Linked DNA regions of Caenorhabditis elegans. The protein of the gene in region 1 purifies or fractionates together with the protein of each later gene. This does not show direct contact. Each region holds a gene or a part of one and is shown on either strand. Other genes may lie near its edges.

The links.
Region 2: the proteins of cit-1.1 (region 1) and pie-1 purify together in Caenorhabditis elegans (affinity purification with western blotting, with the first as the bait; one study listed by BioGRID). This does not show direct contact.

What each region holds. Positions count from the first base shown.
Region 1 is NC_003281.10:8,005,217-8,011,466, reverse strand, and holds cit-1.1 (Cyclin-T1.1), read left to right. Parts: upstream 1-1,645; 5' UTR 1,646-1,664; coding exon 1,665-1,742; intron 1,743-1,792; coding exon 1,793-1,923; intron 1,924-1,978; coding exon 1,979-2,060; intron 2,061-2,109; coding exon 2,110-2,229; intron 2,230-2,357; coding exon 2,358-2,418; intron 2,419-2,460; coding exon 2,461-2,526; intron 2,527-2,576; coding exon 2,577-2,628; intron 2,629-2,677; coding exon 2,678-2,768; intron 2,769-2,867; coding exon 2,868-2,955; intron 2,956-3,339; coding exon 3,340-3,405; intron 3,406-3,464; coding exon 3,465-3,514; intron 3,515-3,563; coding exon 3,564-3,676; intron 3,677-3,750; coding exon 3,751-3,834; intron 3,835-4,204; coding exon 4,205-4,423; intron 4,424-4,878; coding exon 4,879-4,984; 3' UTR 4,985-5,534; downstream 5,535-6,250. Other genes in the region: cit-1.2 (Cyclin-T1.2), read right to left, coding at 154-278, 592-678; C06G4.6 (uncharacterized protein), read right to left, coding at 5,632-5,829, 5,985-6,110, 6,163-6,220. UniProt on the Caenorhabditis elegans protein: Regulatory subunit of the cyclin-dependent kinase pair (CDK9/cyclin T) complex, also called positive transcription elongation factor B (P-TEFb), which is proposed to facilitate the transition from abortive to production elongation by phosphorylating the CTD (carboxy-terminal domain) of the large subunit of RNA polymerase II (RNAP II).
Region 2 is NC_003281.10:12,425,000-12,429,838, forward strand, and holds pie-1 (Pharynx and intestine in excess protein 1), read left to right. Parts: upstream 1-1,893; coding exon 1,894-2,178; intron 2,179-2,231; coding exon 2,232-2,339; intron 2,340-2,382; coding exon 2,383-2,508; intron 2,509-3,543; coding exon 3,544-3,632; intron 3,633-3,688; coding exon 3,689-4,088; 3' UTR 4,089-4,196; downstream 4,197-4,839. Other genes in the region: snr-6 (putative small nuclear ribonucleoprotein E), read right to left, coding at 4,296-4,512, 4,560-4,615. UniProt on the Caenorhabditis elegans protein: Maternally provided pie-1 is required for germline cell fate determination. Functions as a repressor of RNA polymerase II-dependent gene expression in the developing germline. Required for expression of nos-2 in P4 germline blastomere cells.

The DNA.
Region 1 (6,250 bases):
CTCGAAAAGATTAGGAAGCGAAAGAAATGATCACAAGAGATGGCGTTTTTATGAATTGTAAAACTATATGAACCCATCTAAATCCTAAATTTTACAATTCGCCTCACTTGAAATTCACTCGATTCTAAATCTTTATCCTATCACTGCACTCACTGCTCTCCTTTGCCATGTGTCAATTGCATGGCAATGTCAAAGATGAAGACTCCTCCTTGTTGTCGTTTTGACAGCTCCTCCTCGTATGTCATTCCTTCTCGTCGACTTGGAGTGTCCGCCAACATCTAAAAATTAAACATTTGAACACTGAACGGTATTATCGATTAGGTCCCAATAATGCTGGAAAATTTTGAACAACCATCAGTGAATTTTTTTTAGTGTTGCTCGTTTTCAAATGTTCCCCGATTGGTGGAATCTCCTAAAATTCTAATGTCAGCATGTACTAAATACAATTCGATGAAAATATATGTTAGAGTTTTTATGTACGAGCACAAGGACCCGGAAAATTATTTTACGAAAAACCACCAAAAATTTACTTTTTCTGGATAATTGGGAAATTTTTTACCAATAAATTGGAAAAATAAAAAGAAAACATACATCTTGCTTTTTTCGGAGCCAAGGATGAATCATTCTGCCATATCTGGACCCATTCTTCTCTGCGATCAATTTGTTCGAATTCGACATACTGATCAATGCTGAAAAAAATATATAAAAAAGAATATCAAATGTTCACGACGAAACACGATAAAAACAATAAATAGATACAAATAATCGATGAATGAAATGGAATTGCTGAGGGAGGAGAAGGAGGAATAAGCGACGGGACAGCGTCCAAAAATCGATATTACCTAGGAAAGACAAAAATTCGTAGTGGCCATTTACAGAATTATCTCCTGGCAATATCCGGTCAGGATACCGAACAATCGTCAAGACATAAAGGAAACTAGAAAACAACTATCACATGAGCAGAATAAACTTAAATTTCGAAATATTTCATAATTCTGGAACGGTTTTATTCGATAATACCTAGCTGAATTTGCACGAATACAGATCGATCCACTGATTAGCGCATATAAAACACGAACATCCAAATTGTGCTATTGAGAAATTGAAAATCCGAGAATATAAAAATTAGCAATAGCACTCTAGAAAAACGTAATTTTCTCCCGGGACCCGTTGCAAATCTTGGCAAACCTATGATTTTCTGGTTCAAAATAAGTTAAATTACTTAAAAAATCACAAAAACGTTAGAGTTTTTCGGCGAAATCGAAAAATGAACAGTGTTTTTCAGAAAACAAGGAAAAATGGTGTTAGTGATGCAAAAAAGGATTTTCACTCAATGTTCAATGTCAAAAATACATGTGAGCTGAAAAGCACGTGATAATGCAACACTTACGCTTGAAAAATACAGAAAATCGATAAAATTTAACTGAAAATCGGCTGAAAATGGGTAGGTGACTCAGAAAAAAAGCTTTGCCTGCCGCGACGCGACACGCAGCGCGTCCGCTTGAGCGCGCTTGTGTCGTCCAGGTTTCACATTAAAACTGGATTTTTGTGAAGCTTTTCACCGGAATTTTTTATTTTATGACAGTGAAAAATCAAATAATGTGTAATTTTTTGGGGAACTCTGGAAATTTATTCAGATTTTTAGAGAATTAAACTCAAATGCGATGTCGGTGTCGAGTCGAGGCGCGGCTTCCCCAGCACATCGGACCGCGCCAACCAAATGGCTCTTCACCAAAGAGGAGGTGCGAAAATTAGAATTAAAACTCAATAATTAATATTTTGAATTTTTAAGATGAAAAAGACAGCGAGCATTCAAGAAGGAATGAGCAGAGAAGAAGAACTAGCCTCCCGACAAATGGCCGCCGCGTTCATCCAAGAAATGATAGATGGATTGAACAATGTTAAAGATCCAAAAATGAAAATGTAACTTTTACAACGAAAACTTTATCAAAAAATGTTCTTGAAAATGCTTTTTCAGCGGTCACACGGGTCTTTGCGTTGCACATACACATATGCATCGCTTTTATTATTTGCATAGCTTCAAAAAGTATGATTATAGAGTAAGACCTTTATCCGTAAATTGAAAAAATTTTTAAAAATCCATTTCAGGACGTAGGTGCTGCTTGTGTATTTTTAGCGGGTAAAAGTCAGGAGTGTCCAAGAAAATTATCACATGTGATCAGTGTATGGCGGGAGCGAAAGGATAGAAAACAATTGACGACGGAAACTGTGAGTATAGAAATTAAGGTTTTTAAAGATTTTTTCCCCTATTTGTATTTCTAAAAACACTAGAAAGCACAATTGCAATACAAATTTCACGGGTCAAACTTTAGAAACCCGATTTCGTGATTTTTCAGGCTAGGAATGAAGCAGCCCAAATTATTGTTCTTCTGGAGAGCATGATTCTACAGACAATCGGTAAGAACTTTATCAGATTACTTTTAAATATAAAAATTTCAGCATTCGATCTCAACGTTCATCTTCCTCATATTTATGTTCTGGATATCATGAAAAAAGTTGATAAAAGTAAATTGTTAATTTTGAAAAGAAAACAAATAACTGAACATTATTTTCAGAAGAGCATTATCGACCTTTGACATCTTGCGCCTACTATTTTGCCACAGACGTGTATGTTTTCAAAATCATAAATTCAAATGTAATAATTTTTAAATTTCAGAATAGCTGTAACAGACTGGTCACTTCGATATTCTGCAGCGTCAATGTCTATTGTAATTATTCATTTAATGGCAGCCTATGCCAATGTCCGGGTGAGATTTAGAAAAAAATGGTAGTAAAATTGCTTAGAGAAAGATTTCCAAAAATTTTTGAAAAGTAAAATAATCATTAACAATTAATCTAAATTTCAGATAGAGCGATTATTTGCCGATTTCATCAATGAAGATTCACCGTGGTATGCGAAATTTGACGAAACAATGACGAACGAGAAGCTGAGAGGTTCGTAAAATTCGAATTTAACAAAAAAAAACGACATTTAAAGTGCATCAAATTTTGATTTATGGATGCTCGAAATTTAATCAATTTTTTAGTGAGAAGGTTTTTGAGCTGTAAAAATAAATCCTGAATGTTTTTGAAATAAAATACATTTTAAAGTTTTTTTTTAAGTATAAAGTTTCGTTAAAAAAAATAGAATTTACGGTGGAGTATCGTGAATTTTGCTTGAAATTGCCAGAATAGGCTTAAATTTAAAAAAAAAATCATTTAGAGCGTACTCAGGAGCAGTTTTAAAAGTTCGATTTTTGGTTTTTTTTAAAGCGAAATCCCTATTTAAGCAAGACAACATGTTATTAAAATATTTATGAAAAATGGTTTTTTTTTCAGAAATGGAAGTAGATTTCCTTGTAACATATCGGAATTCCTGTCAATTTCACCATGCTTCCAAATTCAGTAAGTTACTTTTAAAAAAATTAATTTTAAGTCTTGATGCATTCCAATTAAAGTTTCAGACTTCCGTGAACATCGTCCTATGCTGGAGAATCCAGACGTACGGAAATTAGTAAGTTGTTTTAAGAAATATCGAGGAAAATGCAAAAAAACGTATTCAGGATCGTACGAGAGATGCCAGAAGTCATAGTCCAATGGTTCATCATGTACCTGATTCTACAGTAAATGTACGACCGAGAGCATACGTTCCGAGAGATGAATTGACAGTTGAAAGGTTAGATTTGTTTTGAAATAAGTACAGCCAGCTAAGAATATTAAAAATAAAACAATTTTGTTTAATTTTTCCAGATTAAACAAAGAACGAGGTGTGGAAGAAGAACGTCGGAAACGAGAACGAGATCGAATGGCTGGAAAACTTGACAGTTCAACGAGGTTCGGCTTTCATATTAAAACGGGTCTTAAAAATTCTCCAATGAAAACCATACAGTATATTTTACTAAAACTAGTATTGCATGCAAGACTTTTTCATTGGTCATTTTGAAGTTTAGAATCTCGTTTCACCTTTTAAAATTTAAAATTTTACGTTACCATATTTTTATGTCAATTGTTTTTTAAAAAATCGAAAATTAATGAAAACTGTTTGAAAATGTTTTAGAACAAATAAAGTATCACAGAATATTATTAATTAAAAATGTTTTTCAAAGTATATTATACTTATTAGTATAATATCAACAATTTACAAAAAAAAAAGTTCAGATTGTGAATAATTACATTTAAAAATAACTGTTAATTGAATTTTCAGTAGTGAAAAGCGTGCTCGAATAGATCCACTTGCCAACAATTTCGTATCTTCATCATCGTCATCAAATGGAAAATTGGCCCCACCTCCAATACCTCCACAGCTTAATTTTCCGCCACCACCAATCGTGTCATCTGGATATAATCACAAAAATCAGATTAATCGAAAGAATCATGAGAATAATCATACAAATTCTTCGGTTTCGCCAGCGTTTGTGCCCAGGTACACATTTCATTAGAGCAATATTATTTTTTAAAAAACGGATACAATAATAGGTTTAAAAAATACGTTGTATCCTAGACAGCTTTAAAAAATCACTGTTTTCTAGATTCTTGGCATTTCCTGGGAAAGCTAGAAAATGCTTAAGTTAGAAGATTTATTTTTCAAAAGTCTAACTTTTCGTAATTTCAAATTTAAAATTTTGTTCGAGATCCATTTGTTTCGAATTAAAAAATTATTTTAATTATCATACCATACTTTATTTATTTATATTTATTCATCAGGCAACAATCATACTTAAAATTTTTAAAAACCTAACTGAGTTTTATTAACCTTCAGAAAATATTGATTCTTTGCCACAAATTTTTTAGATTCGAATGAGCTGGTGGAGAATGTAACATTTTATTTTGAAATAAAAATGTATACATTTCTTTAGAAATACCTAAAATTAATTTTAGTGCTCGAACATTCGACGTGGCTCCAATGCTTACACCACCAACTGCTCCAAAGCTCCAAAGTGCTGATAATTCAGATATGGATTTGGAAGATGGTGAACTAGAATAATTATTTTTAGTTCGTATTTTTATTAGTTGTATCTCCTTTCTTATCCAAAAATCTAGCTACAGATGTTTATTTTTATCTATTTTTGGCTCAATATTTGAATATCAATCCACAAAATCTCTGCCTTGCCCCCATTTACCGTTTCTTTCTTTGCTAATTTATTTGATCTGTTCATTTTTATTTCCTTTTGTTGTTTACTTTCTAAAATATGTTTTTGAAAAGATTTAGCTTATGAAACCCCGATTCCCTAGCATTTCAATGTATTCTTTTTACGCCCATCGTTAAGCACAAAATTCCTCGAAAGTTACAAAAACCCACCGGTTTCAATAGTTTTTCTCACTTGAGAAATTCAATTTTTCATCATCATCATCATCCCTTGTTGATTCTTTCCTCCTCTCACTGTGAGACTTGTCTGTGAAATTTTTTTCTCATTTGCATGGCATTTGTTTTGTTTCCGAGTTATATCAATTGAAACTGCAATTTTTCTGTTCATCTTCATTCTGTACTGTAGCATTATCGAAATTTAGTACATAATGAATGGTTTTTAAAACAATTGAATTGAAAATTAATTACCAATAAATGGGAGAATCTCATCAAGATTTGGGGATAAAATAAAAAAAAGAGATCTTTAGAAAAAAAAAACGATGATTTTAAGCAGAATACGAGAGAATTAAAAATATAATAAGAATAATGACAATAAGGAAAAATGGATTGGAAGGTTGAGAAGCTGTATTATACCAAGGAATTGGATAATAATTTTGTCTTGAATATGGATTATATCCATTTGGATTGTATGTTTGCATTTGTTGCTGATTTATTGGAAGTTTCGAAGCTTCTCGAGCAAATATCTGTAATTAAAATAAGGAAATTGAAAAATTCAAACTTGGGGTTATAGCAAGTGAAAATCAAATTCTTATTTTCAGTAGTTTTTAACAGTACATTTTTCGAATTCCATTTAAGACACTACATACATAACCATTCTCATACTGAAAAAATAACGTACCTGAGGATTATTACAACTTCCCCCTTTACAACAACAAAAGTAACATGGTCCATTTGGTGTATTGACCATACTACAACCTTGTTGATTCACAAATCCAGCACCTTCACCACAAACTGATCCACCGACCTAAAATAGTTTTACGGTAGCTCACTTTTCCGACTAAAAGCTTAGTGCTCACATTTATGGGAAAATTGGATGCACACCCAAAGTTTGCTTGCTGAGTTGCTGGTTGGTAGCTGTAGAAAAATAAATTTGGATTTTAAAGT
Region 2 (4,839 bases), 4.4 Mb from region 1:
CGAAGAGAAATTGAGTATCGCTGTCAAAATTCGAAAAACGTGGATTTTTCCAAGAATCGAGCCCGTAAATCGACACATTCGCTACAGTAGTCATTTAAGGATTATTGTAGTTTTCGCTACGAGATACTTTGCGCGCCAAATATGTTGTGAAATACGCATTCTCAGAATTTTATGTTCCCGTAATACCACAATGACCGAATATCATAATAAAAAAATTCAAAAACAATTTCTAGATTTTATATGATTTTTTGAAAATTGAAAAAATCTCAGTTTTCACCTAATTATATTTGAATTACCGCCAATTGAACTCGTTCGTTGGAGCGCGCTTGCATTATTTTCATTAATTAATTTTATTAATTTTCATTATTTCACTGATTTTCTTCATTTTTGAGGTTTTTTTTATCGGGAAATGAAAGAAATATACAAGAAAAATGCAAAATGTTTATTAAAAACTGAAATTAGTATTTCTCGGAGTTTTAGGCATTTTCAGTTACTTTTTAATAAAGATTTTGCATTTTTCTTGTATATTTCTTTCATTTTCCGATTAAAAAACCCCAAAAATGAAGAAAATCAGTGAAATAATGAAAATTAATTCAAATAACTAATGAAAATAATGCAAGCGCGCTCCAACCAACGAGTTCAATTGGCGGTAATTCAAATATAATTAGGTGAAAACTGAGATTTTTTCAATTTTCAAAAAATCATATAACATCTAGACAATTTTTTTGAATTTTTTTATCATGATATTCGGTCATTGTGTCCCCATAGGCATGTTTTAAAGCAATTTCCACCTTTAAATAAAATCGAGAAAAAATGGCGTCAAAAGACATATGTAAAAGCTGTTTCTCTTTGTATATTCACACAGAATATAGCCCGATTTTGGAGGTGAAAAACCGGTTTTTTTGTATTCTTTACGCCACATAAAGTGATATGGAAGAGAAAATCGACATATTTATGTACTTGGAGTACGAGTACATTGGAGAAAAAGGGTGAACTACTGGAAAATCTGGGAAATTTCAGAAAAAAATTCCGAAAAATCTTTTTTGCTGAAAAAAAAATTTGTTCGAAATTTGGGAAATACTGGAAAATTTTCATCAAAATTAAAGCGATTTTTAACGTTTTTGCTTGGGAGATACTATTTGTAATTTTAATGTTTGGTGAGGACAACAGAAATGACCTTCAGCGTACGGAAAACGATTAAAAGACACATTTGAATCGAAAATAGCGTGAAAAACATGAAAATATCGGAAAAATAGCTTTAAAATTGGATTTGAAAGCAAAAAATGTATCAAAAATCGAGAAAAATGCTTGAAAAAGTTGAAAAACTCAAACAAAAAATCAAAAAAGGTTTTTTTAAAAATCTGTGAGTATCGCAACGAAAGCACAACTTGAGGCATGCGCCTTTAAACCAACCGTAACCAAATTCGGAGGCAAAAAAAGATTTCTCGCTGTTTTTTCAGTTTTAAAATCACTTTTCACGTTTCTTTTCGCAGTAATTCGTTTGCAAAACATCTGAAAAAATTTTATTTTATAAGAAATTATATAAAAATCGCTATAAATTGAGTTTTTGCCCCCAAATTCAGCACGGAGCACTTCTCAATTAAATATAATTTTATTTTTTAACATTGAAAGCTTTCATAAAATTGAGCTTTGTTTGTAAATAATCAGTGAAAAAACACAGAAATCTTCAAAAAATAAAGAAAAAGTTTTTAAAAATCTGTGAGTCCCGCAACGAAAATAAAACTTTAGGCATGCGCCTTTAAACCAACCGTAACCAAATTCGGCGGCAAAAATGGATTTCTCGCCGTTTTTTCAGTTTTACAATCACTTTTTAGGTTTCTTTTTGCAGTATTTCGTTTCCCAAACAATTAAAAATCAAATTTTCTTTTCCAGATGGCTCAAACAAAGCCGATTGCCGAGCAAATGGCTGCACTCAACAACTCAGATGACACGTCGTTCGCTGCCGATCGATCGAACAGTCTTCTGAATGCGACGTGCCCGGCGAGAATTCAAAATTCAGTAGATCAACGGAAAATCAATCGATCATTCAATGATTCGCTGTCGTCCGGATATAGTGGAAAATGGCTTCGTCCAAAGCGTGAAGCGCTCAAGATCACTCCATTGGCTCAGATTGACGAGGCGCCGGCAACTAAAAGACATAGCTCGGCGAAGGATAAGGTTTTGATTTAAAAAAAAAACTGAAAAATATGCAAAATCGATTTTTTTTCCAGCACACAGAATACAAAACGCGACTTTGTGATGCGTTCCGCCGTGAAGGATACTGCCCGTACAACGACAATTGCACATATGCTCACGGACAAGATGAGCTGAGAGTTCCGGTGTGTCTGAAGCCTGGAAATCTTTGGAAAATTTTTTTTTCAGAGACGCCGCCAAGAGTATTATTCCCGAGATCCACCACGTGAGCGCCGTGATTCTCGTTCTAGACGAGACGACGTGGATACAACAATCAATCGATCGAGTTCTTCAGCATCGAAGCATCATGATGAGGTGCTGATCGGATGGAAATTCGCTTTTTTGACAAATTTTCGCAGTTTTTTCGCTAAATTTCATTTAAAATATGCTTATTAACACATTATATCACTATTTAGACGAATATCTTGTAGAAATGTTGGGTTTTGTTCGAATTTTCTCTACTTTTTGAGTTGCTTCACGAAGAAATTGTGTTCTCTTTCATTGTACAGAAGAATCTATGTTTTACAAGGGAAAAAAGTAAGATGGTGCAACATTTTCTCGTGAATCGACTCTAAAAGTAGAGAATTATCGAACAAAACCAACATTTCTACAAGATATTCGCCTAAGTACTGATATTATGTGATAATAAATGAAATTTAGCGAGAAAATACTGCGAAAACGCCTTTTCAGACCCAAAACCGCCTAAATTTCTCGAATTTTCAGGGCTAAATCATTTTAAAACTCCAATTTCGCTCAATTTTCCGTGTCGAGACGGTCCGAAGTTGATTTTCTGGAATTATCATCCTTGTTTTGCATCTTTTAGTAGTTTATCTCAAATTTTTCCCGCCTGCAGACAGATTATGTGAGATAAACTACCAAAATGTGCATTAAATTATGATAATTCCAAAAAAAGTCAACTTTCGGCCGATGCGGCACGAAAAATTGCCAAAATTCGAGGTTTTTAGCTAAAATTATCAAAACTTTGGACAAAAATCATCCATTGCGCAGCGAATTTTTGGGGTTATACGTTCAAAATGTTTATTTTAAAATGAAATTTAACGAGAAAATATAATATACTGCGAAAACGGCTTCTCAGACCAAAAATCGCCCAAAACTCGAATTTTCAGGGCTAAATTGGCTAAAAGTCTTCATTTTTGGCAAGTTCTCCGTGTGGCGACGGAAAAAAAGCCAATTTCTGGCAAAATTGAAGATTTTCAGCTAAAATTAACCCTGTTTTTCAAAATTTTGAACAAAAATCGTCAATTTCAGCGAATTTTTGAGGTTTTACGTTGCAAAAATCCTTATTTTTAAGTGAAATTTAGGGAAAATATTACAATATTTTACTTCCAGAATCGGAGACCCAGCAACAACCACGGAAGCTCGAATCGTCGTCAGATTTGTCACAATTTCGAGAGAGGAAACTGCAGATATGGTCCAAGGTTCTAGGAAATCTGGAATTTTTATTAAAAATAAATAAAATAAATTTTCCTTTCAGATGCCGCTTCATTCACGTCGAACAAATGCAACATTTCAATGCGAATGCGACGGTTTACGCGCCACCTTCTTCCGATTGTCCGCCGCCGATTGCCTACTACCATCATCATCCACAACATCAGCAACAATTCCTGCCATTTCCAATGCCATATTTCTTGGCTCCACCGCCGCAAGCTCAACAAGGAGCTCCTTTTCCAGTGCAATATATTCCACAGCAACATGATTTGATGAATAGCCAGCCAATGTATGCACCAATGGCACCGACATACTACTATCAACCAATTAATTCGAATGGCATGCCCATGATGGATGTGACTATTGATCCGAATGCCACGGGCGGTGCGTTTGAAGTGTTCCCCGATGGATTCTTCTCTCAGCCACCACCAACTATTATTTCCTAATTTTGCCGTATTTTCCATATTTTGTTTTGTATATTTATCCACTCACCCCCTCTCTTTGTCCTGTGAATGAACTTGTGCCAAAAAAGCCAAAAATAATTTACTTTTTTTAAAGACATATTAAAACTTGAAAACTTGGAACAATACGGTGCGAAAGCGAAACAGAGACAGAAAAATGAACAAAGAGATCCGTGAAAAGTGAACGATGATTTAGGCTTCTTGTTGGGCGGCGTGGATGAGAGTGATGTTGTCTCCTTTGAGAAGAATTCTGCCGATCTTGTTGCGTCCCTTCGTCTTCATGTTCACCTCCTCGGCTTCGTCGAACACGACATTCATGAACTCGTCGAATCCGATGATGTAGCCCTCGAGACGGTGGGTGACATCCTCGTACAACCAGATTTGGACCCGAGTGCGGTTTTGGAGATATCTGAAATTTGGGAAATTGTTTTCTACTGATTAGTGAAAAAATATTACCTGAAGATGAGGTTCACAGGCTGAACCATCACTTTGTTGAGCTTTCTCGTCGACATTTTTGCGGGATGATCTGTAAAAATCAATATATTTTTTGAAAGACACAAATTTTTAAGATAAATATCAAGAAAACTCGATTTTAGCAGCTATTTAAGCTCAAAAACTACAATTTATGGCTTTAAAACATAATTTTTCACATTTTACATAAATTTCAACGAAAAAAAATGCCAAAAAACTTCAAATTTGAGCAGAAATCGGCTATTTTCTCGACAAAAATAATTTC